2 linked regions of the Alligator mississippiensis genome follow. The protein of the gene in region 2 interacts with the protein of the main gene of each other region in a biochemical or structural test. Links are inferred from orthologs where the notes say so. Each region holds a gene or a part of one and is shown on either strand. Other genes may lie near its edges. The genes, in order: CACNB4 and CACNA1A.

Region 1 (16,269 bases), on a different chromosome or scaffold from region 2:
GAAGCAGATGTATAGGGGATTTGTGAACTAAGGACCACAGTGAAGACACAGGGTCAGATCCTGCAGGACTAAACTACTCAAGTTTCCTACCTCTGTAACTGACACCAGCATCTAACCAACTTTCTCTGCCTCGAGAAGCTTGACACTGCAAACTCGACAAATCACTTCCTGTAAAGGAATCCAGACCGTGACCAGCATCTAGACCTACGTTAGAAAAAAAGGAAACGGCATGATACAGGGATCATGAGGATAAGGATTAAGGTTACACCAAACAGCACTGTGAAGTTACTTTCTGTAGCACAAAACTATCCTTTTTACAGAAATAAATTCATATTTATTACGTTGATGCAGGTGCTCAAATGCTGTGGTAATAAGCCTGGTGTGCTTAGATAAGATCCCATCTATTCTCTGAAGTTGTCCCACTGTAGTGGTACAGTTAAAACATTACTGTCCCCTTAGTACAGACCCATTTACGAGTAGGAGGCAACTTGAAGAGGCAGGCGGCTGATTTTGCAGGCAGATCGCAGGGACAGCCACCATTTTTGAGGCCTCGTCGCACCAGGGTCCCTTCGGACAGGCCGAGGGGTCCCAATGGCCACGCTCCCCACCACTGTCCTTCGTGCAATCCCACCCCTCATCGCATCATAAGCACCCTTTTACCCAATCAGCAGCATGGGGAGGAGGCAGCCTCCATCCTACCTGCCCCCCTTTATGATGGCAGCCCCCCTCACGCCTTGCCCCCAAGTGGCCTGCATGGCTGGGCCCCAGCGGCCCTGGGGACTGCTGGCTCCCACTGGGGGACAAACTTTTTACTTTTAGTAAGTTTTTTGCTCCTGCAGATTTTGTGGACATTGCCCGATTTTGCAATTTTATTTGAAATCTCAAAATGAGTAGGTCTCTATTTATGAGAGTGTACATACAGTTAAGATTTTCTCCCCATAGAGGACTCATACAGGAAAAACAATGTGGTGTTAGTTTACATTTACAATACACGTTGTATCAATCAAAACTATTCTGATTAAATGCACACACACACCCCTTCCAAAAGGAGCTTTCTTGGTACAAAATATGTCCATCAGATCATAAACAGAGCACCTCAAAAATATTCCAAAGAGGTTGCTGTGCGACTCCAGGATCTGGGCAGCCATACCAACACACATTTCAAAGTTTCGCCATCATTTTGTAAAACAGGTATTGAGGCATTCATTTTTCCCCAGCAATTTCTTCTCCAAGTTTTTTCTGGAAAAGTTATTTCTGTATTGTGTTTATACAAAGCTCTCACTGGTGTTCCACCACTGACTTTTCATGCAAAATTATATTAGTCTATGCTCTAGAGAGCTTTCAATGGCTATGGGCACATATCTCTGTAAAAAAGATGAACTACGGCTTCTTTGAACAATTAAGTTAATGGGTATCATTGCAATAAATTATCAGGTGATTAAAAACCCACCATGAGCCCCATTTTAAACTCTGTTTAAAATGGTTCTGTAGGCAAGCTTTTAAGGCACCTTTTTTGTTTTGCAAAATGATGCGTGTCAAAGAAAGAAATACTATTAGAGAGAGTCAGATAATAAAATGATGCCAATCATGAGTAAAGATTATCAATCATATTTTCCTACAGGATCACGCATTATTAGGACACTTGGAAACATAAAAGCTTCGAAAACAATAAATTCTTACTACAGCATTTGCAAAAATTATAAGCGTATGTTTTCAACTGACCTACTTAGTCTCCTGTGCTGTCATGTTGATAATTGACTTTTATCCCCTAAGGGGGTTCTTAAATATAATTGAGCAGCACCTGCCATATAAAGAATAGTTTTATACATTGATTCCTTGGACTTAAATATCCATATTGGACTTAACAGCTTCCGTGCCAGGCTTGGTCACACAGCCTTGGTTATGCCTCAGGATAGAGGGAATGCCTTTAATGTAGTCAAAGGTGAGAAGTGACAGCTAGGAGGCAGTCGCACACGTCATTGTTGTGGCAGCTAGAAGCTCCGTACCACAGGAATCCCCTGCCACGAAACTAATTCTCAAGCAATTTAGCCCACCTTGTGTTTCAAGTTAAACCGCTACTGGTACTTGAAATGGCCACACTGAAGCTAGCTTGATTGTGTCTACACAAATTAGCATTGCACCTTGCCTGCAGTCTAGGCACATGCAGACACATTTAATGCGCTACCTGCGTAATGTTGTAAACACCCATTCATTCTAGCAAAATATGGAGGCAATTCTTATTTAGCAGAAGGAAAAATGGTATCCAAATACTTCTATTAATGCATCATTTACTTAATAATTAGCTCCCTTGGAAAGAACATCCTTCAGTCCAAGAAATCCCAAAGCACTTACAATATCCCTGACCTTACTATAACAGCTTATATGAAGTATACACAATATGCATTAGGATCATTTCACCCTGCAATGATATCCCAGAAGCAGAACGCCACAGCTGTGTCACAATGCACAATAGGACCGGACAAAAAGACTACAAGAATATCATACCTGTTTGAATCTGCAGGCAGAATTTATGTCCGACCCCAAGAAAAACCATGGCCAATATAGCTAGGCTAATACCCTATTCTTACAAAAAGAACTACAGGATCCTTAATGACTAGAGCTTTGAACTCAATATAGCACTACTTACATGCACGAAATAACTCATATGAACTAAGACATTCCAGGCATTTGCTAAGTCTTGATAGAGCAAACCACTTAAGCAGATACTTAAAATTAAGGGCAAGTGTAGTCCACATACTGTACTGAAATTTTAGCACTTCCTTAACTACACAGCAGAACTGAAATGAGATGCACATGTTAATGATGTTCAGTCCTTGCAGGTTATTTTTCCCCTCAGTAAAAGCTCTGAATCACAAGGTAGACTAATTTTTGGAGGGAACGACCTGTTCACTTAATTCTATAAACATTATTCATACTTCCCTAATGATTTTCAGCATATGGGTATTTGCTTCCATCTGTACCTCATTTAATCTATTTCTGTCATTATAACATTTATCATATGTTAAGAAGTAATTATGGGCATAAATTGTCATAATTCCAGGTTCATGATATTGTAAGCAGTGTTTCTGCCATTATTGATGCACATCTAAGACTAAAAGTATTTTACTGACATTTCTCAGTGATAAAAATCTGCAGGGCAGGGAAGGAAAGTTAAACAACCCATTTCAAGTTTACTCAAAACATTATTTGCTGCTACGTTTTTTTTTCATTCAAGAGAAATGCAAACTAAAACAAATAAATGTAACAGAAGAGTGGTTCATCTTGAGAGGCACAAATAGTTGTCAGGTGCGTGTGTGTGGCCCCCCTCCCCCCGTTTTTACACATGCATGTTAGAATGAGAATAATAAAAAAAAACCATAGTTCCACTGGTATGTTCTGGTAACCAATTGCTAATCTTAAAATACTACAGTATTAACATTTAGATTGGATTGTTTTAAACTCTTTTAGGACACTGTACTACAAAGTCTAGTGATACAAGTGAAAAAAAATATATTTTCAAAATTACATGTAATCTGAATAATACTGAACAACCTGTTATAAACACTGAAAATTGGACATTTTCTTGCCTGTGTCCCAACTAACCTAATCTTTATTGGAAGAGGAAAAAAGGTGTGGAGAAAAGTTCACAGTGACTGAGATCACCAAGGTGATATGCCTACAGGTGCTAAATACAGTTAAAGTCCCCCCCACCGTCCATCCCTTCTGTTATAAAAGAAATTGAAAACCAAAGACTAAACATGGAGGCTGAGAATATTCAAAGCCAGTTCCATTAAAGCACAAAAGAAACAACCAAAATGTCTTTCTGCAAAGGAAACACTATCTCGAGAACGGCATTGCTGTATGGGAAGGAACATATTATAGTAACATTCACAGGAAAAAGTAATGTGATGCTTTCCTAAACACCTGTCTAACTTCAAATCATCCACATACTCTTTTTCAGTGATGGGTGGGAGGCACTCCATGAGATATTGTTGTTGCTGAACTCATGCAGTTCAGATGAAAGCTTCTTGTTGTCTTTATGAACTATTGAATTTTCCACCATCTAAAGGACTCTCAAGTAAACTTGCACAATTTTTGTTTTGTTTTGGTTTTTTTTTTGGTTTTTTTTTTTTTATCTTTAGGGTCTGTAATATCCTGTTAGTAGGCAACATCACTTTTTTTCTCAGTCTGTTCTTCCATTTGACAAATCCAGATTCTTGCATTGATTTATTTTGCTGCACTTTGAACAGAGTTAAAGTTATACTTATGTAACAGCTTCAACCTATGTAGCACCTCATTGTGCCAAGACATATTGGACACTGGTGCAGGAACAGCAACTGTGTCAGCACAGTTCTGGGAATAGTGTGCATTACTTTATCTGCTACCACAGCTTTCACTACTGCACAGCTGGCAGCAAAAGCACAAATCATTGTCTAGGGGACCAGGAAGAATAGCTGCATTTCTGGGGAGAGGAAAAGCTAATGGCAACTAACTCATATATATGTAAAGAGAAATGAACAGCCTGAGCTTGATTTTCCAAACAGCATACTATATAAAAATCTGCAGTGATCATATGATTGGCCGGTAAGGAAGGCATTAATGGGCTATTTAAACCTGAATATTTCCTATTGCAAGGCCACAGAGATGTATGCAACTGTGGCAATTAAGCATGTAAATTAGGAGCACTATTCCTACATTTTATGTCCTTGTGACAACATATTGAGCAAAATTCACAGATTTCATTGGAATTTGACAGGCTGCACCATGAGCACTTATGTATGGCCTTGAACTTGCAACTTCTAAGCTGTCAACTGTGCACACTGGTGCCCACGCCACCCCAGCCCTCAGGAGCACTATCATACATGCAATCTAAAACTAAGCACATGTAAAGTTTTGTGGAAAACAAAATAGATGCAAAACAAATTATGCTCCTTCTCCATGCAGGACCAAAATTTAGTACCCCCTGCACACAAACTTCTCAGTGAAATCACTTAGTCTTGGGTGTGCAAGAGATACAAACTATTATCAATTACAAGGAAAATCACAATGCCAAGCCTTAAATATTTGACAGTGGCCCTTTAATAACACAGGTATACATTTTTGGTAGGACACTAGAGCAGGAGTCAGCATTGTTTTCAGGCAGCAAGCCAGGATGACCCAGTGCAGATCAAACATGCTGGTACTAGGACCTGGCTCCCACCACCTCTGTCAGCACAGCACAGGCAAAGCCCCCACACTCCACTGGCCCAATCCAAGAGCTCCACAGGCTGGATCTAGCCCCCAGACCATAACCATGAGCAGAGAGAGTTTCTCTAACTGGCCTCCACGAGATCACAGACTAATAGCTATTTAGATGAACTGTAGTACAGCAAGCACCGAACATGAGAAAATGAATACATTGCAAAGCACGGGGAACATTTCAGCACATTTGGAACACAAATAAGATGTCAGATGCAATAAAACTCAAATATGACAACAAGGTAGTTAGGGCCCGACTAAAAACATTTACTCATGCAAATAGACCTACCAGTTTCCACTGGGCCCTTGTGTAAGCAGTACACGTGAGCAAGGTTTTGCAAGATCAGCCACAGAAGATTTAATCCTGCAAGTTGAGGACTTTTGAGAAACTGTGTGCCCTGAATTCCCCTCTAGAAGTCTAACAGTAAGGAAGAATGTTCTGCACCTTCCAGGGTCAGACCTCAGATCCCTTGCAGTGCAACAAAGTGACAACAAGTAAAATGCAGTCTTACTCCTACAGACAGTGCTTTGACACTTCATTGGAAATCCATCACTTTAAAGGACATATCAGAGAGTCTACAAAATTATTTCTGACAGCTACAGGAAGTGCCCACAGCCCTTCTGCAAGACTTGCAGAACTAGCACAGTCCATGAACACAGACCAAAACTAGATTCAGATCTATTAATGTTTTATTGCAAGTCAAATCTATTTGGCTTCAGGTTACATTAAGCTTCATATTCTTTTTACTCCTTTGTGCTCCCTTGACTTCTCCTCATGTCCAGCAAAATGAGAACTGCCAATGTGAAACTGCCAGGAGCCTGCACATGCAGTTATAGTGAAAATAAAATAGCACAAAGCCATTGTAAATGATGACTCGCTTTGGGCATTTATTTCCCCTTTGTCCATTACACCAATATAATTCACTCCCTCAACAACCTTTACAACAGGACAGTTACGTGAAGATGCCCAAATTATTCAGAGGCCCAGTCCTGCTTTCCTTATCGTCCCCAAAATCCCACTAGCAGCATGGAGAGCTTCTGCTGTGCAAAAAGGGCAGGCACAGACCCCCAGTCAAGTGAACTCTTTAGGCATAAACAAAGAATGAACAACCCCTCAAAATATTTACATTTCATAGTTTATATTTAAAACAATGACTTATACAAACATCACATAAGAAATTATGCCAGAGCTTCAGTCAGAGTACAGATGATCTCTGTTTTATCCAGGGAAAGCTAGTAGCCAAAAACATAACTTGGGAATTAGAAGGGGAAGGGTAGCTGTTACAAGGTTGACTTTACCTAAACCACTGGTGCCAAAGGCAGGAGGAGAAGGAAAGGTGTTTTAGGCTCCCCTATACTAAATGCATGGCAATCATTTGGTTCCTTCTGGTTTGTGTTAAAAACTCAGCTCCTGGAATCAAGTGATTACCTGAAAGTTGAAAGTCTCAGGATTCATTTTTTTTTAAACAAATGTGTTTCTAGTCCTCCTAGTTACAGAGAACTACTTGAATAATGTGTCCCAAATATAACCTAATAGCTCAAGACCCAGAAGACCACATTACATCTTTATATACATCAGGTTTTCAAACCGGTCTCAAAACGTTATGAGCACTTCAGGCTGACAATACGCCACAAGTTTTGAGCCTAATCCACAAGTCGGCCCCACCCTGAGGCTCTGAGTGCTCAGCTCCAATTTCTGGTTGAGGTGCACACACAGCGAGGTGTTAGCTCCTACCAACGAAACGCTTAGGCCCTAAACCTACAATGGGACCCGAGGGTGCCCTAAACGCACAGGCAGAAAGGTTCAAAATACAGTGCAAGAATCTGAGAGCATGAAAAATATTAATAAAAAAAAAGAAAACCAACAGACTCCAGTACATAAATCCAGCACTGTTTTCCAAGTTTGTTTTGAGGCCAAAAAACCCCCTAAAAAGCCCTGCACCAGCAACTGAAAATTAAGTTGCAAGAAAATCCGGACAAAAATGTCTACCACTGCTTTAAAAAATGTCCCCAGTGACAGATGAAGCCGAGCGTATAATGCAATGGCTTGTAGCCTCCATAAAAGGACTTTTTATTTTTTCCTGAAGAGAACAATAAAAGACCAAAAGCCTCTTGATGCCCATTTCTAAACCCTTGGGTTTGGGACCCAGTCAGACGTGCCGCTGTTTGGCAGAGCGGGTGCGGGGCGAGAGAGGCGTTTTGCACGGGGCTCCGCGGACACGCGCGACGCGGCCCCCCAGCCCCAGCCGAGGCGAGCCGCGCAGGAAGCCCGGCGGGGTCTCGCACGCGGCCCCGACGTGCCCGGGCCCGGCGACACCCGCGAGTGCCCGGCCGGGGTCGGCGCGGCGCGAGCCCCTCGGGCCCCGGCGGTGCAGCGGGCGGGCCACACACGTGCGCCGCCTCCCGCCGCCGCGCTGCACCGCGCCCGCCCGGCCCGGCCCGGCCCGGCCCTACCTGGCGGAGGATGAAGCTGGTGGACGTGGTGCTGCCGTCGGAGCGCTTGAGCCGGCTGCGCCGGGTGGCCGTGCCTCGCGTCACCTGCGCCCGCCATGCGGGGACGGGGGAGAGAGGGGAAGAGGTCGAGTCACAAGGGCCGCGCGCGGGCAGCTCGCGCCCGAGGGGACGGGGACGGGGATGGGGACGGGAGCCCTCGCCCCCCGCGGCCCCGCGCAGCACCCACCGCAGCCATCGGAGCGAGGAGCAGCGGAGCCCGCGATGCAGCCGGCGGCTCGGTCCCTGCAGCGCGGAGTCTGCACAGCTGGGCGCTGCCTCCGCCCGCCCGCCTGCCCGCCTGCCTGCCACGGGGGCCGGGGCCGGCTCAGGCACCTGCAGGGCGGGTCGGGGCGTCTCGGGGGAGCGGAGCGGGAAGTTTCCCCGCCGGCCCCGGGCGCAGCCAGGAGAGGGCAGGGGCCGTGGGCGGCTGGAGGCGGTGCCCGCCCCGCCCGCCTGCCCGCAGGTGCCGGGGCGGCCGCGGGAGTTGTGGAGAGGCCCCGGGGCTGTGGTGGGGGTGGGCGGCACGAGGCGGAGGAGCAGGAGTCCGAGCCGCCCGGGGTGGGCAGGGCCCCCACGCAGCGCAGCTGGCCGGGGGTGGGGCGCAGGGAGGGGAAAGAAAAAAAATCAAGGTTTTTTTTGAAAGCTCGGTGTTCAAAGCCTGGCTGCAGGTTCTGTATTAGCTCGCGCTTGGCTCCGAGGGCGGGTCAGGCCGATGCCCGCGGGAAGGACGGTGATGTAGACTACGGGCAAGCGCGCCTTGGTGAAGCAGAAGGGGCCCGGGGCAGCGCAAAATGGGGCATCACGTTTGAGGAGCCGGGATAACGTTTTCCCCAGCAAGAGTTAAGGCTGCTGCGTGATAACCTCTCTCTGAGTCATGAAGGGCACTGTGATGTTTAAAGCACTTTTTTTTTTTTTTTTTTTAATCTAGGCCATTGGACCCTTTCTGCAATTCCCTTGTGTTGCAGAATAGCGCAGGAAGGAGACTAGCCAAGCCACTGTTTCCAGGAGGCTGTGTTCAGAGAGAAGTTTTGGCATACAAGTTTTCTATGTGAAAAGGGGGCTACGGGAGGAAAACAGTTGTGTGCAAATCATGCCGAGACGGTGAGGTGCAAGACACCTGGATCTGGGCTAGTCCTGAGGCTGTCACAAACAGAAGTGGCTGTGTGGTGTTTGTTACCTCTCTGCCCTGGGGAAAGAAACAGCGTCTGACCAGCATCCTCATTCTTGCTCCAGACAAGTTGACCAGCAAGGGCCCCAGAATTGCTGCAACTGGCAAAAAAAAAGCATCAATATATTCAACAATAGCACTAATGAAGCCCAGCTGGATCCTGCACACATTAGATGATATTGCACCTCTCTGACCTGCCTGTACATAGGTAAGGTTGTGTGTGTACTCTGGGCTGTGAAGGGCCCACATCTAACAAAAAGCGAGGATCTGGGTGGTTCAGATGAAAGCTAGTGCACAGTAGTAGCAGACATCTTTGTGAAGACACTGGGCTCCTGAAGCTACTCAGAAGCTCAAATCATTCTGTAAACACTTTTGTGGCATTAATGACCACTACATAAAAATTCTGTCATTTTTTTTTCAGTTGCTCAGAGTCCCCAAACATTTTGCTGTCTCAGGCCAGTTTGCCTGCCCCTCCATAGAACTGCAATGACCTTGTGGCTTTGAAGGTCAGTTTTGCAAGGCAGTAAAAGCAATATGCTATATTGTGTAATTTGAGTTTATGGGGAACATGCAGTTTGGTATAGAGAACCAAAATGGAACATCTTGTTTAAAGGCATGCTGGTAATTGACTACATAGCACAGCTACATTTAAGAGGCTTGCTTGCTGTGAGACTGGGTAGTAAACTCAAAATTAGTAGGACAAATGACTGCCTCTGGTTTTTGGAGGCAGGAGTACGAGCAGCTGGAGAAGTTAGTAAGAGTGAGTAGCAGATGATGTGACCACAAATAAATTGGACACAAAGGAAATATTCATATTGAACCTACATAGGCAGCAACATTAAAAAAACATAATTTTCTGTAATTACATATAGGATGCAAGGCAGATTAATAGGACAATACGCTAGGGCTACTATTGGCGATTGAATTTCTGATGACATTACTAAATCATTCTATCTTCTGGTTCAAGTTAATCCCTGGATGCTTTAATGGAATGAATCGTATTTCAAATAGCCTCAGTATGCTCGACCATGTTAACACTCAAATTCCAATCACTGGAACTTAATCCACCGTGAATTCCTAACTGTCAACAACTCTGTAAATCAGTATTAGGGTAACTCCTTCCCATTCATCATTCTCTATTGAACACTGACTTTTAGTCTTATTTACATGCCCTAACCAATCAAGTGTCTGCATGCAAACTCCCAGAGCCACCTCTAGTTTAAGATTTTCTTTTTAATTTGGCACTGGGGGAGGGGGTCAGTCCTTTTCACTTTATACAGAGCAGTTTTGTCTTTGCCTGTAATGGTTGTGTCTGTGAAGCATAAACTTGAATAAGATGCATGTCACCTGGATGTAAAGAAAGAACAGAGATTAACTGAGATACTAAGATTCTAACAATGGTGCTCAATCTTCTGGCTCCAAGGACCAAATGAATGGCTTAGGGCTGGTGCCAGTGTCCTGGATATGGCCACAAAGCAATACCCACACATGGGACTATGTCATCTGGTCCCTGGTGGCGTGGGAGTAGTGTTAATTGCAATGGTTCTGGAAGCCACAGCAATTAACACTGCCAGCCTCCTCCTGTTGCCACATTTCTAGACTCATAGGGCCCCCTGGAGCCCTTAATGACACGGCCCCTGTGGGCCAGATTTGGTCGAGAGGTTGAGCACCACTGCTCTAACAAACTTCATCATCAGGCTGAAGTATTAAGGCCTATAGCCAAGAGTATAGCATGAATAGTGTATGCAATGGAAAGACAGATGGGGGAAAAAAAACTAATATGAATGCATCTCCAAGCTACAAAGTAGATGATAGATTTACTTGTAACTAATTACAAATTAAAAGCGAATATAAACAAATAGTTGATGCTTTATCCTTATATAATACTAGCCAATTGCCCATCAAGAATGATGGGGGCAGAGGGGAGGAAGCTGGGATGGAGTGCTGCCACCTAATGCCCCATGCTGCTGCTGTTCTGCCTCTTGCAGGGAGCCAATCGGCTCCCCCACCCTGTCCAGTCCTTGGCACAGCTTCCGAATCATGGCAGCACTCTCCCCTATGCCTGGAGCACTCTGATTAGCTGTTTCTGTCAGCCAGTCAGAGTGCTAATAAAGTGTTACAGACAGACAGACTTAGGCTTTTATAATATTAGAATGATTGATCAGCTTGCACTGTGCACTTTGAGAATACGTTTCAGATGGTTTATCCAATTTAAGAATGTCAAACTAAACGTAGGTAGATACGTTTCATTTGCACCTAATTTTGACATACCACCATTTATTTACGTAACTGATAGAAATTTGCTCTCTTCTAAAACATTTTTTTTTTAAATCATGAATCTGAAAGCATTTTGTTCTTGCATGAATATCTGGATCTTAACTACACTACACTCTGATTTCAGGCTTGGATAGGTTAAGGTATGAATGCAGAGCCTCCAGACTGTCACCAGTCCATTAGCCCACTGTAACCCACTGAATCTCAAACCGATTTGAAACAAAAATCTAACTAATTAAAACATGCTCAGTTGTAATATTACGTAGCACTTCCAATGCATCTACTGAAGAACATTACCTTAAAACATCTAAGATACGGCAATATGATTTCAAATTTTCAGAGGAATAAAATCAAAATGGAGATTGAGCAGTTTGTTCAAAGTTACATAGGAATTCCAGGGAAGGCTTGAAAATAGGACCTGGGTTCCCTGCTTCCCACTCATGTGCTTAAGAACATTAACACCTCCTACAGAAGTGAAAAAAGAAAACATATATGCAAGCTTATTTGCTTCTAGACCAATTATTTACACATATAGTAATGCTGCTGAAAAGCATGGGTTTCTCCAGCTAAGCCATTATTGGCTGTATAGTCTTATCAGAACTGACAGGGAGAAAGGAGAGAAAAACAAGTGTTGTACATCTGGAAGCAGAACTCGTGGTAGAGGTAATATCTTTTATTAGACCAACTATATTTGCAAAAAAAAAAAAAAAAAAAAGAAAGAAAGAAAGACAAAAAAGTTCATTTGCAAGCTTTCCAGCACTTTCACCCTTCCTCAGGCACAGGAAAATGCAAAGATTGTAAAATTTCTCCTAGGTGGAAATGAAAATTCATATTTCACAAGACAGCTGAAGGTATTGTAAGATCCCCTGGCTGAAATAGTTCACTTTGTGCAAATTAAGCTCAGATAAGTTAGAATAGTCTGTTTACTTCCATGCAGATCTGGAAATATATTTCTGTTAAATGTGACAGTTTCAATTATATTTACAGGTTTAACTCGTAATCCTGCCACCTTTCATCCAGTCAATGGGCAATATGAATTTTTAACAAAGATTAGTCACTGGAAGACTATTTCTCATACCTGATTGAAGAAAACTGGCAAATGGATCAGTGTTTAAACGAAGTCAAACAGAAACCAAGACAACATTCCACAGTCTTTTCACCTTGGAGAGTACCTTTTTAGTCAGTAGGGATTATCTTTATGTTTTATATGACTAAGGCACAGATTATTTTCACGTATATGACTAGGATGCAGATTGTTTTCATCCCTAGTTTTGTTAACTTTATATTTTGAATAATATCCAGAAGTGCAGCAGGCTGAGGGGGGAGGGACTCTCTTGTAATGTTTCCCAATTTTTGCCAAAAAAAACTTATACCCTACAGATATCTGGTAAAAAAAAGTATCATCAGATCAGTTTTATCCATTAAGCTCACAAGTAGTAGATAATGGAATTCCTTGAATGAAATTAGGCAGCCTAACTCCTAGATCAAAGAAACATGAGCAAGAACTGAATAGCATTAATCCCAAAGTCTAAAAATTAAGTGTTTAAAATGTTTTGAATTAATCTAAATACAAAAGGATTCTTAAATTAAATCTTAATATGATTCTGGCTGGCTGACTTCCCACCCATGTCTATTCATAAGCATAACAGGGCAGCTCTGCACCCTGGGCAGCGATTGTTTTTGCACCCTCCCCCTCCTCCTCCTCAAAGGTAGCACCTGAAGCCACTGCCCCAGTTGCATCCTCTCAGTAATGCAACTGATGTGTTGTTCAGGAAATGAAGATAGTAAGGAGTTGTTCAAATTTTATTAGTTTATAACCAATTAGCTCATTTGTTTAGAGCACAGCCCTAACACCACCAAGGTTGTAGGTTCAATCCCTGAATAAAGCAAGGCAACCTTTCCTGCCTCAGGCAGGGGGGTGGACTAGATGACCTTGTCCCTTCCAGCCCTACTTCTTCTCTATGATTCACTTCCACTGTTTTTAGTCATCTCACCGAGAATACATGGTTTGAAAGGTTGATTTTCTCTGAAATGAAAAATCTTTGAAAACTGTTCTTTTGCTATTAGGTTTGGAAAATGCTGGCTTTTACAAGACTTAACTATGGGTCTAAAACTAGTTACACACCATTCCATAAAAGTTAAAGTGACTCAACATAAATAATGCAAAACAATGACACAGTTTAAGAATGAATCACAGGAACTGATTTCAGGTGTTTTGGACCTATGACTTCACTTTTTAAAATGTATGACAATGGCTTTTCCCCTTCTGGTCTCAGCTAACAATCTCCTTTTGGTTAGATGGTTACCAGAAGTGCTCTAAATCAATGTTCCATTAGTTACAGTAAGATACTCGGGTCTTTTCAGGTTGTACATTTTAAAAATTAAGTGTGGTATAGTTATATATAGCGGACTATCAATATATGAAAAATTAACATCCTTTGTAAATAAGACTGTTGATTATTCTCCTCATCCTAACATGGATTTAACATCCATTTTGTAGAGAGAGCTCTCTCTATCCATAGGTATACATTTTTGTCAATGTATAGCTATGCTATATATGCTTACAAAAACCAATAGAGTGAATCAAAGAGGCACAAGTTACATAGTTCTGGTAAGTAATTTTAAAACAGAAAACTCTCTACTAGCACAGATTAAAACAAGTTCCTTTTATTCACACAAGGCAGTGCAAACATATGGTTACTCCAATGGAAGAAATCCCCTATTTTTAGTACTGCAAATTCAAAAAAACATCATTATCCATTAACTGCAGTCACCCTCTCCTCCAGTATATTTTACCTTTGATAAACATATCTACCCTTCAATTTAAAGTGAGACAAAATAGAAGCAGTGAGAGCTTAATTTGGAATGTGAGATCAGAGAACACATTCAGACATGCCATGCCACGGGAGCAGATCATTAGCTGGGAAAGATGTCATAATTCCATTGAAGTGAATGAGACTATGGCAGTTTATACCAACTGAGACTGTGCCTATATCTTTTCTTCCCTTCCTATATTCATCTTCTAAAAATATGTTAATGTAGTGTTGTTTCATGTACAATTAATCTAGTAAGTGTAGAAATAAGAGACTCAGTTTTACTCACTAGATATACAGAAACCAATCCTGCTTGTGTTTCATTACTGAGCTGTACTTTTTAGTATAGATGCATAGCTATAAGACAAGAAGAATGCTCTTATAGGAGAACACAGTTCCAACAAAGGATGGAGCTGAAATCATATCCACCACTTTTTGCTGAAAAGACAACTTTTCACTGAATCACAATAGTCCAGAGGATACTATGAATATGAAAATATAATCCTAATGAAATAAACAAAAACATGTTTTTTAAAATTTTAACAATTACATTACTGATTTTATTTTTCAATGTCCATAGTTTAAAAACAGACAAGATGTTTGTCAATGCAGGCTCTTGGAAACAGTCATTCATAAAGCATGTCCGTGCATAACAGTCAATCGAAAGTGACATTTCTTATTCCAGGGTTTTTTCTTAGGTTTCCAAAACTCATACTAGAAGAAAGCTTATCCTGTATTAATATCTTCAACATCAATAAAACAAATAGTACAATAAAATTCTCATTATAAAGTTGAATAGTTTTTCTATTTTAAACATTAAGGATTTATTTGAAAAAGCAGACGTTCTCTATTATTTACCCCGGTATAAAACAGTAGGTATAAACCTAATGTAGAAATCCGAAGTTAGATAGATCCTTTGGCAGTATATTTAGTTACAATCAGGCCTTAAAAATAAATATGATAATGTTTTGAAGTACGAAGAGAAAAAGTGATCCCATTAACACCAAACCCTCTAAATACACCATTTTAATGACAAAAATCAAAATATTTTACACTATCTACAAATTGCATAAATGCATCAAAGAATTAGGCTTACAAGAAATGACGGGATGCCAAATCCTGCAATATAAAATTTCAGGTTTATTTATAGAGTGAATGTATATGTCATAATGTGCATAAATCCTCAGACAAATGAGTATATACACTATTTATATTAAGAACTAAATTTGAATCAAACATTAATCCAGTAACTGGTCAATGCTTGTCATCCCAATTTAAGATACTGGACAATATTTATGATGGATCAGAGCCTATAAATCAAACAAAAACTTACCTGTATATTTTACTAACAAATGTGATTGATTCTACATAAATGTTAGTAGGGTTAAATTTGATTCAATATATTTTTTACTAGAACAAGTCCTTGCATAAAGAATTTCCAAATGGTTAGAAATCCTTAAAAAATAAAAATCAGCATTTCAAATGAATTTGTGATATTTTTTTTAAAAAGGAATCAAGGAATGTGTTATCAAAACACGGATATGATGCCAACTAAAGTAGTTTTTATTAAACAGCTTCAAGTGAAAATTAAATGCCAAAAAATTTGCAAAAGTTATGCACACTTGGAATTTGTACCATTCAAAGAACAATTACCAAACACTTTGTTCTAATATGAAGCCACAATTGAACAAAATCATACTACTGAATCAATTTAGTAACAGTACAAGAAATGGAGGTGGCACTGAATTGAGCGTACATTTTATTTTGGGAGAACACTAGTAGGATCTACAGTGTAATAGTTTTCATTTGATAGAAAAATTATACACCATAACATTCATATGCAGAAATGCTTTCAACAATTCCATGCATTTAATCGGATGGTTTTATCCAAGTGCTTTCGTCCATTATTTTCCTCAGTCTAAAGATAAGCCATTCATAAAGTTAAAATATTTATAAATATGATTACATTACTGAGCTGATTAAGTAGGTGGGAAGAGAGCGATGTTCAGATTTCCAAAGTAAAAACAATAAAAGGAAAGAAGTCCTGTATTCGTGAAAAAATATCCAACTCTTCTAGTTCTTCTACCCTTTACAAAAGCTACCCATTAAAAAGTGCAGGAAAATGTCTTCAGATTTTTTATCTACTGAATGCTACAGTTCCACAAGTACAAAGCAGTTCCTTTTCATTTCAACATGTACCCTATTCTTTATGCATAAAGAAAATATAATTCCACCACCCAGAACACATCCCCTGTTTTTACACAGCGGTCTAAACTAATGTTT
Region 2 (16,037 bases):
ATACCAGCACCCCAGCAGCTCCCATCTGCCTCTCCTTTTGCATCACTAATGCCAAATGCATATTGCCTTTGGAACAAACACACACAAAGAAGAAAGGTGCAGGGGAGATCAAAAGCAGAGCTCTTCAAAGCTGGTGGCCATGCAAGGGTTTTGACAGGGAAGTCCCATGACCAGATCTTCAGCTGCTACCCAGATGGATCGAACCACAGCTAGAAGCCAGAGCTCTGGGCAGAGAGGGAAAAAAATTGCAGCAGGTGCAGTGCAGGTTTGAGGCAGGAGGGTTGAAAAGTGCAAAGGAGAGAAATACAGCCAGACTCTAATTAAAACCCCTCCTAAAGCAGAGAAGCCAAAACCAACTCGACCACGTTGCTGCGCTTTCTTTTCCACAGCCTGGGGAGGTTTGAATAGATCCGATTCAACCCCCCCACCTCCCCATTATACAAAGAAAAATACCCCTTAAATTCACAAGAGGTACTTGGAACCTGAACCTCAGGTCTGAAATTATGCCCCAGGTAGAAGTGAAATGCCAACAACAAATACCCCCTGCCACTGCCAGTTTGGCGGGGGAAGCCTGGTGTCCAGCTCCGAGTCCTGTGACTTCTAATCTCCTCCCCACCCTGGCTTAGAGTTGCTTTTCCAAAGAGCGTATTTGGTAGCCTGGAAAAGGAACATAAATCCAAGAGTGAGAGAGATCGTCCCCAGGGATCCCTCCTCCTGTCCCCCCACTGCTTCTCTGGGACCTGCTGCTTACCTGTTATCTCATCTGATCCTCAAAGAGCGAGCGATGACGGCAGCCAGTGAAGGGTTACTGCAACCAGCTATGTCCAGCACCCCATCTCTTCTCCTGGAGTCCTGCCAGCCTGGCCAAGGTAAAATAATCCATCTCCCAACACACTCAGCAGCCTGAGGATGAAGGGTAGGATGGGGATTGGGGGGGAGGGGGGAGGGGGGGGAGGGAAGGCAGGTGGGTGGGGATGCCAGCCAAGCTCAGGGCATGGTGTTTCCCCTGAAAAGGCAGCCTGCAATGGAACCAGTGCCAGCTGATGGAGTCCCAGCTGCTGGGAGAGGAGAGGAGGGAGGGTGGGGGTGGGGGTGGGGGGGGAGAAGATTTCCCTGATGATGAGGGCAAAGAAGGAGGGAGGAGAAATCAAGCCAATTACTTTTTCCCTGTCATCAGTTCTATGCTAGCAAGAAGGGGAAGGCAGTGAAGGTTGGGGGAGAGGGGGTGGGGTGGGAACAGAACATGGCTTTAAACTACAGGAGCATGGACCCAGCTCCCGGCATGTGGCTGGCGAACTCTGCCCATCTCTGAACAGACTCCATACCAGAGCAGGATGCATTTCTCTGGGCCGTCTCTCTGGTCGCCCCCAGGTAAGCACCTTATTTCCTGCCCCCATCGCTACAAGGATGGGCATTCTCTCTCCTATCCTCTCTAGCTGAAGAGAGCAGGGAAGAGGGTAAATAGGAGCAAAGGTGATTTTTCTTCCCCCACCCCCTCTCCAAGTCTATTGTCTGCAAAAAGCATCAGTGCCTCCCCAGTTTCCCCGGGCTGAGCTGTCTTTGTCTTCCCTCTCATCAGCTCTATGGTTATTAAGTAAATAAAACAATTTGTGACAGGAACCCAGTTTAAATTATTTATGCCAACAGAAAAATAAATGGTAATTACAACTACAGCTGCCTAGCCCCTCAGGCTGCTTCTGGTTATGCAGAGAGAGCTGACTTCTTGTAGTCTTTTTTTAAAAGAGATAAGGAGAAGGAAGAGGGAACCAAACTGGATATAATAGAAACCATGCAGAAAGGGTTTGGATTCCCAGGCAGTGCCAGGGTATCACTGACCCTTGAAGACCCACCTTCTGGCTACTGCTGCTTTGGGGGAAAAAAAAAATTGAAGCAACCAGGATGTTCAGAGATGCTTTCTTACAAGGAAAAATTAAGAGGCCAGGGCTGTTCAGTTTAGACAAGAGATGCTCGAGGGGGGTGGCATGGGGATGTGAGAAGTGTTTCTCAAAATACTAAATAGTGAAAAGAAAGTCACCCGGCATTTATTACAGACTGTTTCTCGCCAGACAAGAGCGATGGGGTCATCAAATGAAGCTGATAGGGTGTCAATGAAAAGGCAGTTCTTTTTCACCCAGCGTATCATTAGAGGGTGGCACTCATTGCCACCAGATGCAGTGGAACCTGAGAATTTAGCCAGATTCAGAAAGGGACTGGACACATTATTGAAGGAAAGAGGCATTGGTAGCTATTGATCGAGGGGGGGGGGGGGGGCACAGCCTCTGAGACATCCCAGACCTTAAAATGCTGGAGGCTTCAACTGGGAGATGACCAGGGGCAAAAACCCAGGTCAGACCCAGTTCATTCTCCCTGTCAGCATCCGCCCTCTGCTACTGTGTGATACAGGAGACTGGGCAAGATGGACCTAGGGTCTGACACAGAAACAACGGGTCTTATGTTTTTGCCCTCTATCTGACAAGATGATGCTAGAAGACTCCTTCTACTGGCAAACCGAGGTTATATCCCCACTGACCCAGTATGGTACCACACTCACTGTTTCCCTGTGGGAGATGTGCTATAAATAACTTGAAAAAATACCTCTGGGTAAAGGGAGCATGATTTAAGACACGGAGACTAGACATTTGCCACTTCCCACTGACTTCAGGATTAAAGGCACCACCTAGGCCAATCTAATTGGATCTGCCAAGAGAAGCAGAGGCAACAGCTGCTGACAACAGGACCCAGATCAGAGGCGGTTAATCCAGGAGCGGGGCAGAACCCAGCCAACTTCTGGTGTTGCCATTGCACTGCTTCACCTAAGCATCAACAACACTTGTCCTCCTGTTAGAGTCACCATCCAAATTGACCCAAAGGATCACAGATTTCTCTCTCTTCTCTGACCCAACTACTGGCACATGGCGGCCAGCAGTGCAGAATGGGACCATACAAATTGCTAGTCAGGGTGCGGTCCACACTGGAGGTGGTTCTCTGGAAGGAGGCCAATGGCTTTGTCACCAGGCTCTTCCAACACCTGCGCTGTTGGCAGAGGTAACAAAGCCTGGATCTCCCTACCCTGCAGAAGGGAAAGCTGTCTGATGGTTGCCAAAGAGACTGGAGACTGGCAGCCAAACCAAACAGAAGTTAAACCCTCAGAGGTGTGAATGAACAGCAGGATGGTTCCCTCCTCATCAACTAAAACCTTCACAGAAATAGACCTCCCTCTACTCACCTCCTGTCATGGCTGTGCCTCTGTCTGGCTTTGCCTCCAGGAACGCACAGATTTATCTAGGAGTAACCATAAACCTGCTCTAACACCCGCATCATCACCACCATTTATCATGCCCAGCAGTGGGGCAGGGGTATCAATTGCTCTCTCGCAACAAGTCTGAGCCAAGAGAGTCAGAAGCCAAGGAAACTATTTAAGCCGGGGGATGATGCTAGTTCAAGGACAATGGGTATCAAGTGGATTTTCCCATGGACAGAAGTCCAGACTAGAAATCAGAAAGTGTTGAACCACAAGAGGTTTAGGAACAGAAGGAAAAGAGAAAGATACAGAAAGCAACACACAGCCACTAGTTTTAAGGTGGCACTTATAAGGGCACGACACTGTCCTGGCTATACCGCATCTCTCTCCCCCTCCACCCAGACATGGAAGTAGCCCTACAAACTGCAGCAGCATGCTCTGCTCTGCCTCCCATCCCCCTTGCAATTCACTCCTGTCCTTTCTCTCCTGTTCCTCACTGCCTTATGTCTAGAGGACTCTGCTTCAAGCACCCTGCTTCCCAGTACACTTCGAAAGCCACAAGTCCCCACTCCCACATCCACCCACACCCCCCCACCTCCATCAGGCTTCTCAGGGCCCTGTTCATTCCACTTCCCACCTACCCAAGGTCAGTGGGCAGATTATTTCTGCTTCCAGGACTAGATGGTGAAAAGAACAGACATCATTTGCAGATGGAAACTTCTTTGGTTTCAGGGATGCTGCATCTAACTGGAGATGTGTTGGTTTTTTTTAAATCCATAGAGAACATCAGAGTGGGGAGGAAACCATTTCCCTGCCAGCCCTGAGAGAGACCTACTGCCCCCCATCATTGAATGCAAGAGAGATGAGCTGGGCTACAGTCACAGCAAGGGCCAAGGCAGGACCAAGCTTCTAGCTGACACCAAGTTCCCCTCTCCTCCAAGCACAGAGCCAGTGGAGGGGATGGGAAGCAGGGGAAAATAATTTATTCCCTCCTGGAGACCTCCCTTGAGTCATCCACCAAGGCAGGGCAAGCAGGGATATCAGCTCTAATGGCTGGGTGTTTTATATTCATTATAGGCATCCTCCCAACCGACCAACCCCTGAGCAATCATTCTTCTGTGACCCCCACAGGGTAGGTACATTATCTCTATTCTACAGACAGAATATCATATCTAGGGTCACACTGCACAAGACCATAGGAGCATAAGAACGGCCATGTACTGGGTCAGACCATAGGCCCACCTTACCTGGGCTCACATGTCACACCAGTCCTCAGTGGCTTCCTTCTTAAAGAAGGCTTATATTTTCACTTGGGGGGGCCAAGACCCATGCTTTCCCAACGGTATAACAAATAGGTCTGTGTCACATGGCCACGCAGAGCAGATACTGGAAGGGAAAGTGGCCTTGGCAAGAGCAGGGTCCCCCTGCTCACTCTCATTTTCAGCCTCTATCAGTAAAGGTCTATGAAGCTCCAAATGAGAGGCTGTGCCTATCATTCCCAGGCTCAATGGCTCCCGATCCCTCCTTCCTCCATGACTGTGTCCAGTCCCTTGGTGAATCCAGCTAAACTCTCAGCTTCTGCCATATCCAGTGGGAGCAAGTTCCACCCATTCATGACACTGAGTGAAAAGAGTGCTTTCTGTTCAGTTTGAACTGACTGCCTCCCAGTCTCGTGTCATAATGCCTTGCTCTTGTATAGTATGGGATTATAAATCATAAATGTGTAGGGACTTTCCCTTTAACAACCAGCATTTTGTAAACCTAACAGGCCAAGGCCAGAGCAAGGAGCAGAAGAACCCAGGAGTCCTGGCACCTATTCCTCTGGGTTTGAGAGGTCTGCACCCTCTCACAGACTACATTCCCCTCACAGAATGAGGGCTAGACCCAGCTCCTAGGATGAAACAAGCCAGGGGGTGCACAGAAGGGAGGGAGACTGATAAGATAGGCAAGACAGACTCACAAACATGACCCTGACTGGGTGTGGACAGGGAACAAGTTAAACTCTGCACCTCTCAGTACACATCCAACCCTAGAGCTCCTGCCCCTCAAAGTGTTACAGAGAGTGAGGCAGGACAATAGTTCATCTTTCCATTACAGGAGCAACTCTAGTAGAAAAACAGAGCCTAGATACTACAGAGATTCCCAGCCTGGGGCACAGCAAATCCCAGACTCCTGCACTGCAACCAGCAGCCTGGTACTTTTTACTTGATGCAATCAGTACCCCCAGAAAAGGGAAGTGCTGCTGCTTAGACAGTTTCCTTCCAGACAGTCAATCCAGCACTTTCTACAGATCTAGGAACAGACTGCACAAGGAAGAGACTCACCCAGCAGGCAGCACGCACCTTAAGACAGTCATGATCAGCTCAGCAAAACTGACTTCCTGCCTCCATCTGCAGCCTCTTCAGTAGCCTGGATGGGATGATTCAGAGGGCATCAGCGCCCAGCTTCCAGGTGCTAGGAAGCAGGGCCCTGTGATTCCTGTGGCAACAGCTGCAGATAATCTCCTAGCTGACTGAGCCATCTGCCCTGACAGAGCCCTCCCCTAGCCATCAAAGGCTGTGTTGGTGAAGGCTTGTGCACCTGAGATTGTTACAGAACCAATTAGCCCTGCTGGCTACTAGCCCATACTTCGCTCAAATCATTTTGGGCAGCCTTGGAGGTGTGCTCCAGAATAGGGATTCCAGGGGGAATCACCAGGCAAATGGATGCATCTATACACACAACTAGGGGAGGGGGGCAGAACGTGAGTTCCCTGGGGGAGGGAAGTCACCAGGCAAATGCACACATCTACACACTTACCTAGCTGAACACACACAGCTGGATTAACCTTAAGGCAGGGTTCACCAGGCAAACACAAGTATCTACATACATGGTTAGCTGCACATATACACAGCGAGATCAAACCCCTCCCTTTCTTCCCTGCCATCTTCACTGTGTCTGCTGGGACCAGGTCATTAAACAGACTCAGGACTTGATTTGAGCCAAGTGGGCACATGGCCCCATCTTCTAGCCTGATAACAAAGGGAGCTGTCTGCCAGTGGGGCCCTGGCCAAAGGCTGGGTAAACAATACCAAATGACATGGAAGCAACAGCAGCCCATTGCTTTCCTCTCCTATGTGCAGTTTCCAAAGTGCTGGGAACTGGCTCTGTAATTGTAGCCTGCAGTACTTCTGCCCCCAGCTGAGATTCTGGCAGTTCTCTCAAGCTAAGTGGGGTCAGGCCAGGCCAGCTCAGGATTTAGACAGACCTATTTGGGGGACATGAAGCCAGACCCACCAGGAGAGCTATGAGCCTCCTTTGAGGGGCTCTCAACCCATCTGGAATGAAGGGTCCCCTCAACAGACTCGGGTATAGTCACAAGCACCACTTGGAAAATGCCAGCTCTTAGCTGTCACCTCTTTTTTTTCTGACTCTAGAAAAAATACCAGGGCAAACTTCTGTGCCAAACAACTCAGAAAGCCCACAGCAGGGCAGCATCTCTGGGCTTCCTTTGTGAATAACATTTGTAGACCTTCAGTCAGGGATGATCCTGCCGCGTCCTAAGCAGGGGACTGGACTAGAAGATCTCATTAGGTCTCTTTCAGTCCTACTTTCCTACAATCCTAACACTGTGAGGTCCCTTGTTGCAACCTTGTGAGGATCTCAGTGCACCCAGTTAGAATCACTGGACTACAGGGAGGTCACTGGAGGCATGCCAACAGATTACAGGGAATTCAGGAGGAGATATTCAAAACAAATTGAACTTGGCTGGCAGGCTACTAGGCTTTTTAACAACCCCTGTTCCCCCTGCTTTACCTTGGGCATGTTCAGGGGCTTTGCGTGTCTTTGGGCAGCATGCCATCGTAGGTGTGCTAGGGTAAGAGTGATGTTGTAGCCACGATGGTCCAGAAGTTATGCGAGAGGCCCGCATTTCTTAGGGTGACTCTTATCAAACTGTCATTGAAATAGTTCAACAAGCTTTTGAATGCAAGATGGTCTTCATCAATGGGGCGACTGTATAGTTAGGAATAGGTTAGACAAGGACTTGTCTGGTGTGGTTTGATGGGGGTGACCCTGCCTTGAGCAGAGGGTTGGATGAGATGTGATTTACAGACAGCCCTACTGGCCTGAATGCTCTACAACTCTGTGATTACCTGGAAGAAGTGCACAAGGCTTGTAGCCCTGGAATAAAATGGAGGTGGGCTGTAGGTCTCCCATTGCTAAAAGATCTCCCCATTAGAGGGCAGGGCCCCAAGCCCAAGACTAGCCTTGCTTTTTCCCTCTGAGCAACACTTACCCTGACTTACCCAGTAGGAGGTGATGTCCCGGCAGAGGCACCTTTAGGATCAGATGGACTATTGGGGAGTCCTCGACACCCTTCACCCCTCTTGGCTGTGCTAGGTGTATTGCTACATTCTCCTTCATAGGCCCTCTGCTCCCAGAACCAGTTCAGTCTGAATCACAATGCTTAGCATGTGAGAAAAGGAAGAAGATGAGGGACAGTTTCAAGGGAGCCGAGATGCACAGGCCAGGGATCACACCCTATGTTCATAAGACAACCCCTGCAAAGAACAATGATCACAAGTCATGACTTGGTTTCCCCATACCCTGCTCTACTGGCCCAGAGATCATTCTCTCAGAGACATGAATGGCAATACAGCCATTTGAACCTGAACTGTATACAACTCCTCCACACAATGGCAGAAGGGTGGGAGTCTGGAACTTGCCTCAATCATGAGGCAGATTCAGAGGGCCCTGAGACGTGGCCACCCAGCAGCGAGTATGTCTGTGTATACTCTGCTGTATGTAGCTGCTCTTGGTCATGTTGCCTGATTGCTAATATCCTAATAAACTGGAGTCTAGTTTGCTGGAGCTGCCTTTGGCTTCTCTTGTACTGCTCCAAACCAAATCAAAGTCCCCAGAATCATCCAGGATGTAACAGTACAAAATCAAGGGTGTTACTACCCCTTCTTAATAAAGCTCCAGACAATCCCCTTGTCCACCAGCCACCTCCTGGCTTTAGGCTTCAGCAATAACATTCCACCTGTTCCTTGCAATTGGGCAGTTCAAGAATATGTTCTCAAGTGGCTCCTGTCCAGACCTCCATGGGCACTTAGGACACCAACACGTCTCTGCCAACTGCCCTGGTATGCTCTTTGCACATCCTCTGAGTTGTCACATCTCATACACTGCCCTTCTCTAGAGATATTCAATGGCACAACTGCTAAAACAGCAAGATTTTAAGGGCATCTCATCCCCCCCCAAATGCTGCAGCTGCACAGACAACAGGCCTCATTTCCCCTGCCTTGAACACAGTGGGAGCTGTGGACTCTGGATGCTTCTGAAACTCAGAGATGGGTCCTCTCTGCAGACTGCAGCCTCACCTACAGGCAGGACCTTGTCACGTGGAATTAGGAGCATATAGTGGATTATTTTTTTGGACAGGCACAAAGTGCCAGGGGAGTTTTGTGACCACAGGAGTTCAGGGTGTCTCTTTTAGGTCTCATTTAAAAAGACAGCGCTTCCAGCAACATGGTGCCTGGTGCTAGCTTTCCAGCTCACTCTAGACAGGGATACACCTTCCCAGTTTAGTGCACCACTATCTCAGCAGGAAAAGCCTTGCCCTGGGTTAATAATCATCCCTTCAGCTCTCATTTGTTCCTGACCAGATTCCCACCCACCAGCTGACCAGCCCTGGCCCTACTGATCTCGTCAGCTTGTATGAGACCTACCACTCCAGATCTGACAGCTACAAACTTTGGCACTGAACTACAAGGTTCCCTACAGGAGTTAGGGTCCTCACCAGGGGTTTTTCTGGAAGACAGACAAATTGGGGACCAGCTGTGTCACTGCCATCAGTTTCATGAGGTAGAGACAGCCTTTTAGACTGTAAGACCTACCCTCCCAGGTAGATAGTTTTAAAACGTAAGTGGAACAAGAATCAAAGGAGGGTGCCACTACCACTGCACCCATCTGGATCTGCCCCAAGCTACCTAATTTACTAGCAAACCTATTTGCTGTCTCTGCTAGTGACTCCCCCCACCCCGACTCCTCCTCTCAGTCTGCTCCTGTATCACAGTCCTTGGGGTGGGTGTCTGAGTTCCTTACACATGGCATGGTTCACACAGCCATCCTTCTCCTCCTCTGAGTGGCTGATCTGCGGGGTCACTGCCAAAACACTTCTAGCTCCAAGATGCTGAGGATGCCCAGGTAAGAATCTCTTTGCTCTGTCTGAATCACTTCTGCATTCAAGGCTGTAGCACAGACTGGCTGGACAGGGAGGGAGGGAGGAAAAATAAGGAGGTGGAAACAGCATTGCTGATGAAATGGGGTGCCTCTGAGTCAGGAGTGAATCATGCCCTGGCATGACGCTAGCAGAGGAGAGGAAGGGGACCTCATCATCTTGGCTCTTTTCTCTGCCACCTTCTATCTGTATCCAGCCTTTTTCCAGCAAAAGGAAGAAGCAGCCAATCTCCTTCCCCACACAAAATGAAGCTGGAATTCAGCTGTGAAGGTAAATCCCTGATGGAGACAGAAACTCCCCAAAGAAGTGGGGGCATTAGCCCTGTTTTTGGTAGCATGAAGGGAGCTGCGTGAATGGAGAATGAGTCTGCTGCACAGCGCCTGGCTCTCTAGCTCAAGCAAGTGAAACTTTCTGTGACTGGCACCGGAAATCACTGGGCTCTATCGAGAGCGTCAGGAGGCTCTAAGCTCTCAGCCCAGCAGTGGTGCCACATGGCAACATCACCCTTGCAGGGCTCCCAGCCCATCAAGAATTTGTCATGACTGTTTTTGAGAGGGGGATAAACGGGAGCTGCAGACACTCCATAGGTCCCAGATGGGTTTGTGACAGAGCAGGGGCTAAACCTCAGGACCCACAGTCTCTTGCTTCAGGTATCAAACCAACTCCTCTGTCTCAAATGATGTCCCCAGCATCAGAGCCAATTATATGGCCCAATCACCCCTGTTCCCTAGCGCTGTTTTGGACACGCACCTTCCCGGAGTTATTTGCTCTGGGCATGCAATCTTCCCTGCCCAGAGCAGGGGGGCTGGACCCGATGATCTCACAAGGTCCCTTTCAGCCCTAAATTTCTGTGAATCTGTGTATTAGGCTACTCTAGAGCCATCTCCACATCTTTCTACTTCAGATTCATTTGCAAGGCTCCAGAGGGCAGAGATGAGATAAACCACCCTCTCCTTTCACACAGCAGGGACAAGAGGGGTGGATATATCCTTTCCTGGGGTGAGGGGGTGGGGTGACCACGTGTATCCACTTTAGGCAGACCCAGTGGCTTAGCTGGATAGCTGGCCAAGTGCTTGCAGTGATCTCAGTCCACTTTCTCTAATTAACTGAAAGCCAACTGCTGAGATGCTGCAGCTTAACTTGCTTTCCTGTGGGGAAGGAACACCAGTGGAGGCTGTACGACATGCATTCCCCCTGCAGCTACCCCTGTAATGACAAGGAAGGCACAGAAAGGAAAGTGGGGAGGGGACAGGATAAAAGATCCATGTGTTCAAGGCTTAATCAGTGGCAGAAAACAAGTGACAGATCCCTGCTGGAATGGCTGACTCTGCAGGCATTTGCTGTGCCATGCTGAACAGGAAGCCAATGACAGACAAGGATCTCAAACCCAGGGGCACCTATATACGTGCCAGACGTCTGCTCCAATGTGTGCCAATTAGCACGCATCGCAGCAGACTCAATTAATCAAGTCTGCTGAAGCATGATAATTAGTATGCTCCAGCAGCTTGTCACATCTATTCAACATCCCTGCGCTTCAAAACGGCAGCAGGGGCACTTTAAAGTTCATCAAATGAGCTGTAGTTAAAGTGACCTTGCCGCCATTTTGAAGTGCATGACACTGAATACATGTGACACTTAGAGTGCTTTAATTAGAGCTGCTCTAATTAAAGCACCCCCACTCTGGAGCACATGTATAGATACCTCAGGTGTCCAGGCTGCTGGTCCCCCTTGATATGGAGGGGCTTCCATATGAGGAGACACTAAGACCAGGCCCGTTGCATTTAGAAAAGAGAGGGTTGAGAGGCGACATGAGAAAGGTTTACAAAACACTAAATGGTGAAGAGAAAGTCCATAGGAATTTATTATCGACTCTCACCAGATAGGAACGAAGGGTCACAACTAGTAGGGTGTGAAGCTAGTAAGTCATTGGTTTAAAATGAACACAAGGCAGTTCTTTTTCACCCAGCATGTCATTAAAGGGTGGAACTCATTGCCACCAGATGTGGTAGAAGATGAGAGTTTTGTCAGACCCAGAAGGGGATTAGGCACATTCTTGCAGGAAAAGGTCACTGCTAGCTATTGAGCATGGGAGTGAGGGGCATGGCCTCTGAATCAGAACTTCCTAGACATTAAATGCTGGAGGCTGCAAGTGGGAGAGGACCAAGGGAAAAAACCCTGGTCATGCCCAATTTACTCTCCCTTTCAACACCTGTTCTCTGCCACTGAGACGCAGGAGACTGGAGAAGATGGAGATGACCCAATAAATGGCAGTTCTTATGTTAACTGACCTGCTCCCCCAGTCCTGCCAAGGACATCCCCATTCCCCTCTGCTTGCACCAGTGAGTGCTGGCCTCCTGGCTCCTTCTTGCTGCCTCTGCCATCACCGCTTCCTTCCCACCCACTCTGGGTCTTCTAAGGTTTCCTAAATAAGAGGCAGAGATGCTTGGATTGAGTTAGGGAGATGATTTGAGCAAATCAACCAGCCAGGCTGGGAACTGCACCTCTCCCTGGAGGCAAATTTCCTTCAAGCTCAATGGATGCAAAAATCCAGCTTTCTTTGACAAGGAGGCTTGGAAACCCAACAGCCAGGTGCTGGGTCTAGGCAGAGGAAGCAGGGCTCACTGTGTTATTAACAGAACTCCCCAGGGTGATGGAAGAAATCAAGAGCCCCAAGAGGGACAGGTGCAAAGAGTTGCAGCTACAGGTGGAGAGCAACAGCAGAGGCATAATGAAGCAGCCAGGCCCCTGGGGCAGCTGCGTTGCTGGCACATCTGTGCATCTTAGACGGCAGCTGATATTTTCCACCCTCCCCCACAAACAAAGTCAGTGCCCTGGTCTCCCCACTCTGCTGATGCTATGGGGCAACAGGGAAAAGGTGGGGGCCACCAGAGTTATAAGGTGAGGGACATGTAGGCAGCAATAAGCAGGAGCAGACCATAGGGGATGGAGGTGAATCAGTGTGTGTGTATATGTGGGGGGGAAGGGCGTAATTAGTAGAAGGATTAAATGATAGAAAAGCCGAAGAGATTGAGGGGAAATCAAAGATGTGGGGAGTTGGGGAGAGGTGGGGCGAGTGACAGGGGAAACAGGAGGAGCTCCAAAGGGATTGGAAAGCATCAAACCCCCTAGCTTCCAGCACATCTGGTCCATCTCTAGTCAGAGGGTGGCTTCTGCCTCTTGACATAGCTGGGCTGAGAGTAGCAGAGAAAGTCAACACTGAGCCACATCCCCACACATAGGGTCACAATGTGAAACTAGCAGATAATTTAAAATGAACACAAGACAGTTCTTTTTCACCCAGTGTGGCATTAAAAGGTAGGACCTGCTGCCACCAGATGTAGTGGAAACTGAGAGTTTAGCCAGATTCACAGAAGACTGGACATGTTCTTGGAGGAAAGGGGCATCAGTAGCTATTGAGCATGGCAGCAAGGGGCAATGTCTCTGAATTAGAACTCCCCAGACCTTAAATGCTGGAGACTGCAAGTGGGAGAGGAACAGGGGGAAAAACCCTGGTCAGACCCAGTTCACTTTCCCTTTCATCACCTCCTCTCTGCCCTGGTGTGACACAAGAGACTGGGCATGATGGACCTAGGGTCTGACTCGGAAAATGGCAGGTCTTACGTACTGCAGCACAGCTCAGGAAGCCTTCAGCTTCACACAACCACATCACACTGCCAACAAGGAAGACATGGAGAGTCCCAGGCACCAGGGGAGTCTCTGGAAATCCCTAACCCCCCACTGCATGCTTGAACGCGTGAGTAACATCTCTGCTCCATAAGACAACAGAGCTGCGTGTGTGCGTGTGTGCACAGCAGTTTCCTTTAATTGTTGGTTCACACGGGGACAGCGTAGGAGTGTTAGGAAAACAGAATGACACACAAGAAGGAACCCTCTGGGGTGGCTGTGTCTGCAAGAGAGAGAGAGAGAAAAAAGACAGCTTGTAAATAGATGTCTGGGACATTGATTGCGGTCTTTGCGGATAACAGTAGGCATGGGGAGCATATGATAACGCACATGCAAGGGGGGAGCATGTGCACGTGCTATGGGCAATACCATATGTGAAGTGTGTGGCTAGGAATCCTAATGTGACAACAGCACGTGCGTTTTGTGCAAGAAGCATCAGGCTGGGACCAGTTCTAGCTACAAACCTCAACTGGGGCGCTCTGATTTAATATGGATGATCTTGTCTCAGGCAGGGGATTGGACTAGATGACTTCTAGAGGTCCCTTCCAGCCTGACTTTTCTGTGACTGTCATATGAACTCAAGTTTGGAAAGGACAGGCAGTTGCATGCTAGATGCCCTGTGAACATGCTCAAAAAGGCTGGATTTCCATGGCAACCCTAAAGAAGTGGGGCTGGAAGGGACCTCCAGAGGTCACATCCGGTCCAACCCCTGCCTGAGGCAAGGTCAACCCTGCCCAAAACATCCCAGACAAATCCATCAAGAATGGATCAGCATCATTATCACAATGATCCATCATCATTCGTGACTACCATCATCTGAATCTGACATAGGTAAATCAGGGGAGCCGCAGTGGCCAACATCCTGCTGCTGTAAAAGGTTCTTAATAGACACTTGAGAGATCCCAGGTAGAGGCCATTCAAGGAAAGCAACCCCCGCCCCCCCTACCAATTTGTGGGGGGGAAATTCCTTCCTGATCCCACACCTGACTTTGTTTTATGTCTCTGACTAAGAGAAAAACAATTAATTACAGGACTCAAGTAAACAGGGTCTTTTGATTGTTTTTGGCTCATTTGCTGCATTTTTTTAACTTAATATATAAATCGAGCAAATGAGTGCACGCTTCAACGAAGTTATATTTCGTTCTGCTTTAATCTTAAACTAAACCTTCTAGTGCTGCCCCCAATCATACTAGTAAATCTTTTAGTTTCTTCTTAACTGGAAAAAAAAAACAAGTGTTGTATTCTATGGGATGCGGCAACACCCCAACAGCAGCCCCCTTTTTAAAATCCTAGATCCACCCATAGCTGTGACAATGGGGTGTGTGTGCATGCACATGTATGTATCTATGTGTATATGTGTGTGCACATGCATGTTCATGTGTGCATGCACATGTGCACGTGCAGGTGTGTGCATTCATATATGTGCATGTGCAGCATGTGTGCCTGCATGTACATGTGTGCATGCAGGTATGTGTATGCACGCACGTGTGCATTTGTGTGTACATGTACACATGTGTGTACATGTGCGTGTATTTGTGTGCACATGCACATTTGTGTTTATGTACACACATTTGTGTGTGCACATATTTATGTGTATGTGCATGTCTGTGTGTGTGCATGAAGGTGTATGTGTGCATGCGTGTAGTAAACTGAGCAAAAAAGATCAATGCCATGCCATTTACACTCGATATCTATACAATCAAGCTGAAGTATTCATCTAGCATGCATTGCCACACCTTCTGGGCATCTCATCATGGTTGATGTCTTTATCCTCACCCCCTTCCCAGTGATATTGGCTCTTGTTGTTATCCCATTGGACAGGTTCCCTGAAATCTCAAGCTACTGCAGCAACCACTGGACCATCCATTGCTAGTCTGACACTCCATGCTGTTAGTGCAAGGGAGAGATGAGAGACACTATGTGAGTGTCCAACAGCATGGCTGCATGTGCACACATGTGCAGAAAGGTGAAATGGCATGTGCATGATAGTGCTCTGTGTGTGACCCATTCATCCCTAGTACTTCTCCCTCTAGGTCTGTGCAAAGTCTGCATCAAGAATGCAGCGAAAGCTCTGGTCTGGCACCAGCTGATCCTTTGGAGGTGCTCCAGGACTCCAGGCCCAGACTTCCCCAGCAGCAGCTGCTGTAGAGAATAGTGTAGGATCTCTGGCTGTCGAATCCTGGCCCCTGAAACATCTCTGTTTCTCAGAGCCTCTGTTTTGCTGACAGAAAGCAGAGCCGACAGATCAGCTGGCGCTTGAGACTTTGGGAGTGGTTTTTTTTTGTTGTTGCTAAATGAGCGCAATTCTCTGGAGCTGACTCAAAGTAAATGAAACACTTTTCATAACACCTCCAACCCCACCAGCAGAGAAGAAACCCTAAGAGAGCTCAGCTGAGGCTGCCTCCCATGGGCCAAGAGGGGGAGAAGCTTATAGGCCAAGCCAAGACAAATGCAGGATCCTCTTGCTTCTCACATCCTCCCTCACCAAGCTCTTTAGGTGTCAGCTCTCCTGTCAGCCATCCTGAGCCTTCTACTTCGCTCTCTTCATAGGACATTAGCAATTGCTTGTTGAAAGCAGGGCAGCAGCAGTGGGAATGCAAGGGTGAAATGGTTTGGGGCTAGCCACCCCCAACCAGAACCAGCTTCCTTTCCTGCGCAGCTTAAAGAAAAACCTACGCTTAAGTCTTCAACCCAACGGGAGCTGCTAGAAGCCCTGCTCTTCCACATAGGCTGGTGACTGGAAAATGGGGTTGTCAGCTTCCATTTGGTTGCTAGGACCCAAGCATGGGGTGGTTAGGATTTGTTTGGAATCAGGTTTGACTCTCAGAGGTCTTTGGTGGAGCAAAGGCTGAACAACACCCAGTTGTGTGGGAGAAAGCTGGCAATTGC

The links.
Region 1: the proteins of CACNA1A (region 2) and CACNB4 form a complex in vitro, tested with the Homo sapiens proteins (2 studies listed by BioGRID). The link is inferred for Alligator mississippiensis from reciprocal best matches to the Homo sapiens genes CACNA1A and CACNB4.

What each region holds. Positions count from the first base shown.
Region 1 is NC_081827.1:226,565,657-226,581,925, reverse strand, and holds the start of CACNB4 (voltage-dependent L-type calcium channel subunit beta-4), read right to left. Parts: upstream 8,668-16,269; 5' UTR 7,928-8,667; coding exon 7,919-7,927; intron 7,817-7,918; exon of another isoform or gene 7,777-7,816; coding exon 7,693-7,776; intron 1-7,692. UniProt on the Homo sapiens protein: The beta subunit of voltage-dependent calcium channels contributes to the function of the calcium channel by increasing peak calcium current, shifting the voltage dependencies of activation and inactivation, modulating G protein inhibition and controlling the alpha-1 subunit membrane targeting.
Region 2 is NC_081831.1:23,049,631-23,065,667, forward strand, and holds the start of CACNA1A (voltage-dependent P/Q-type calcium channel subunit alpha-1A), read right to left. Parts: upstream 6,518-16,037; 5' UTR 5,566-6,517; intron 861-5,565; 5' UTR 752-860; intron 658-751; 5' UTR 541-657; intron 1-540.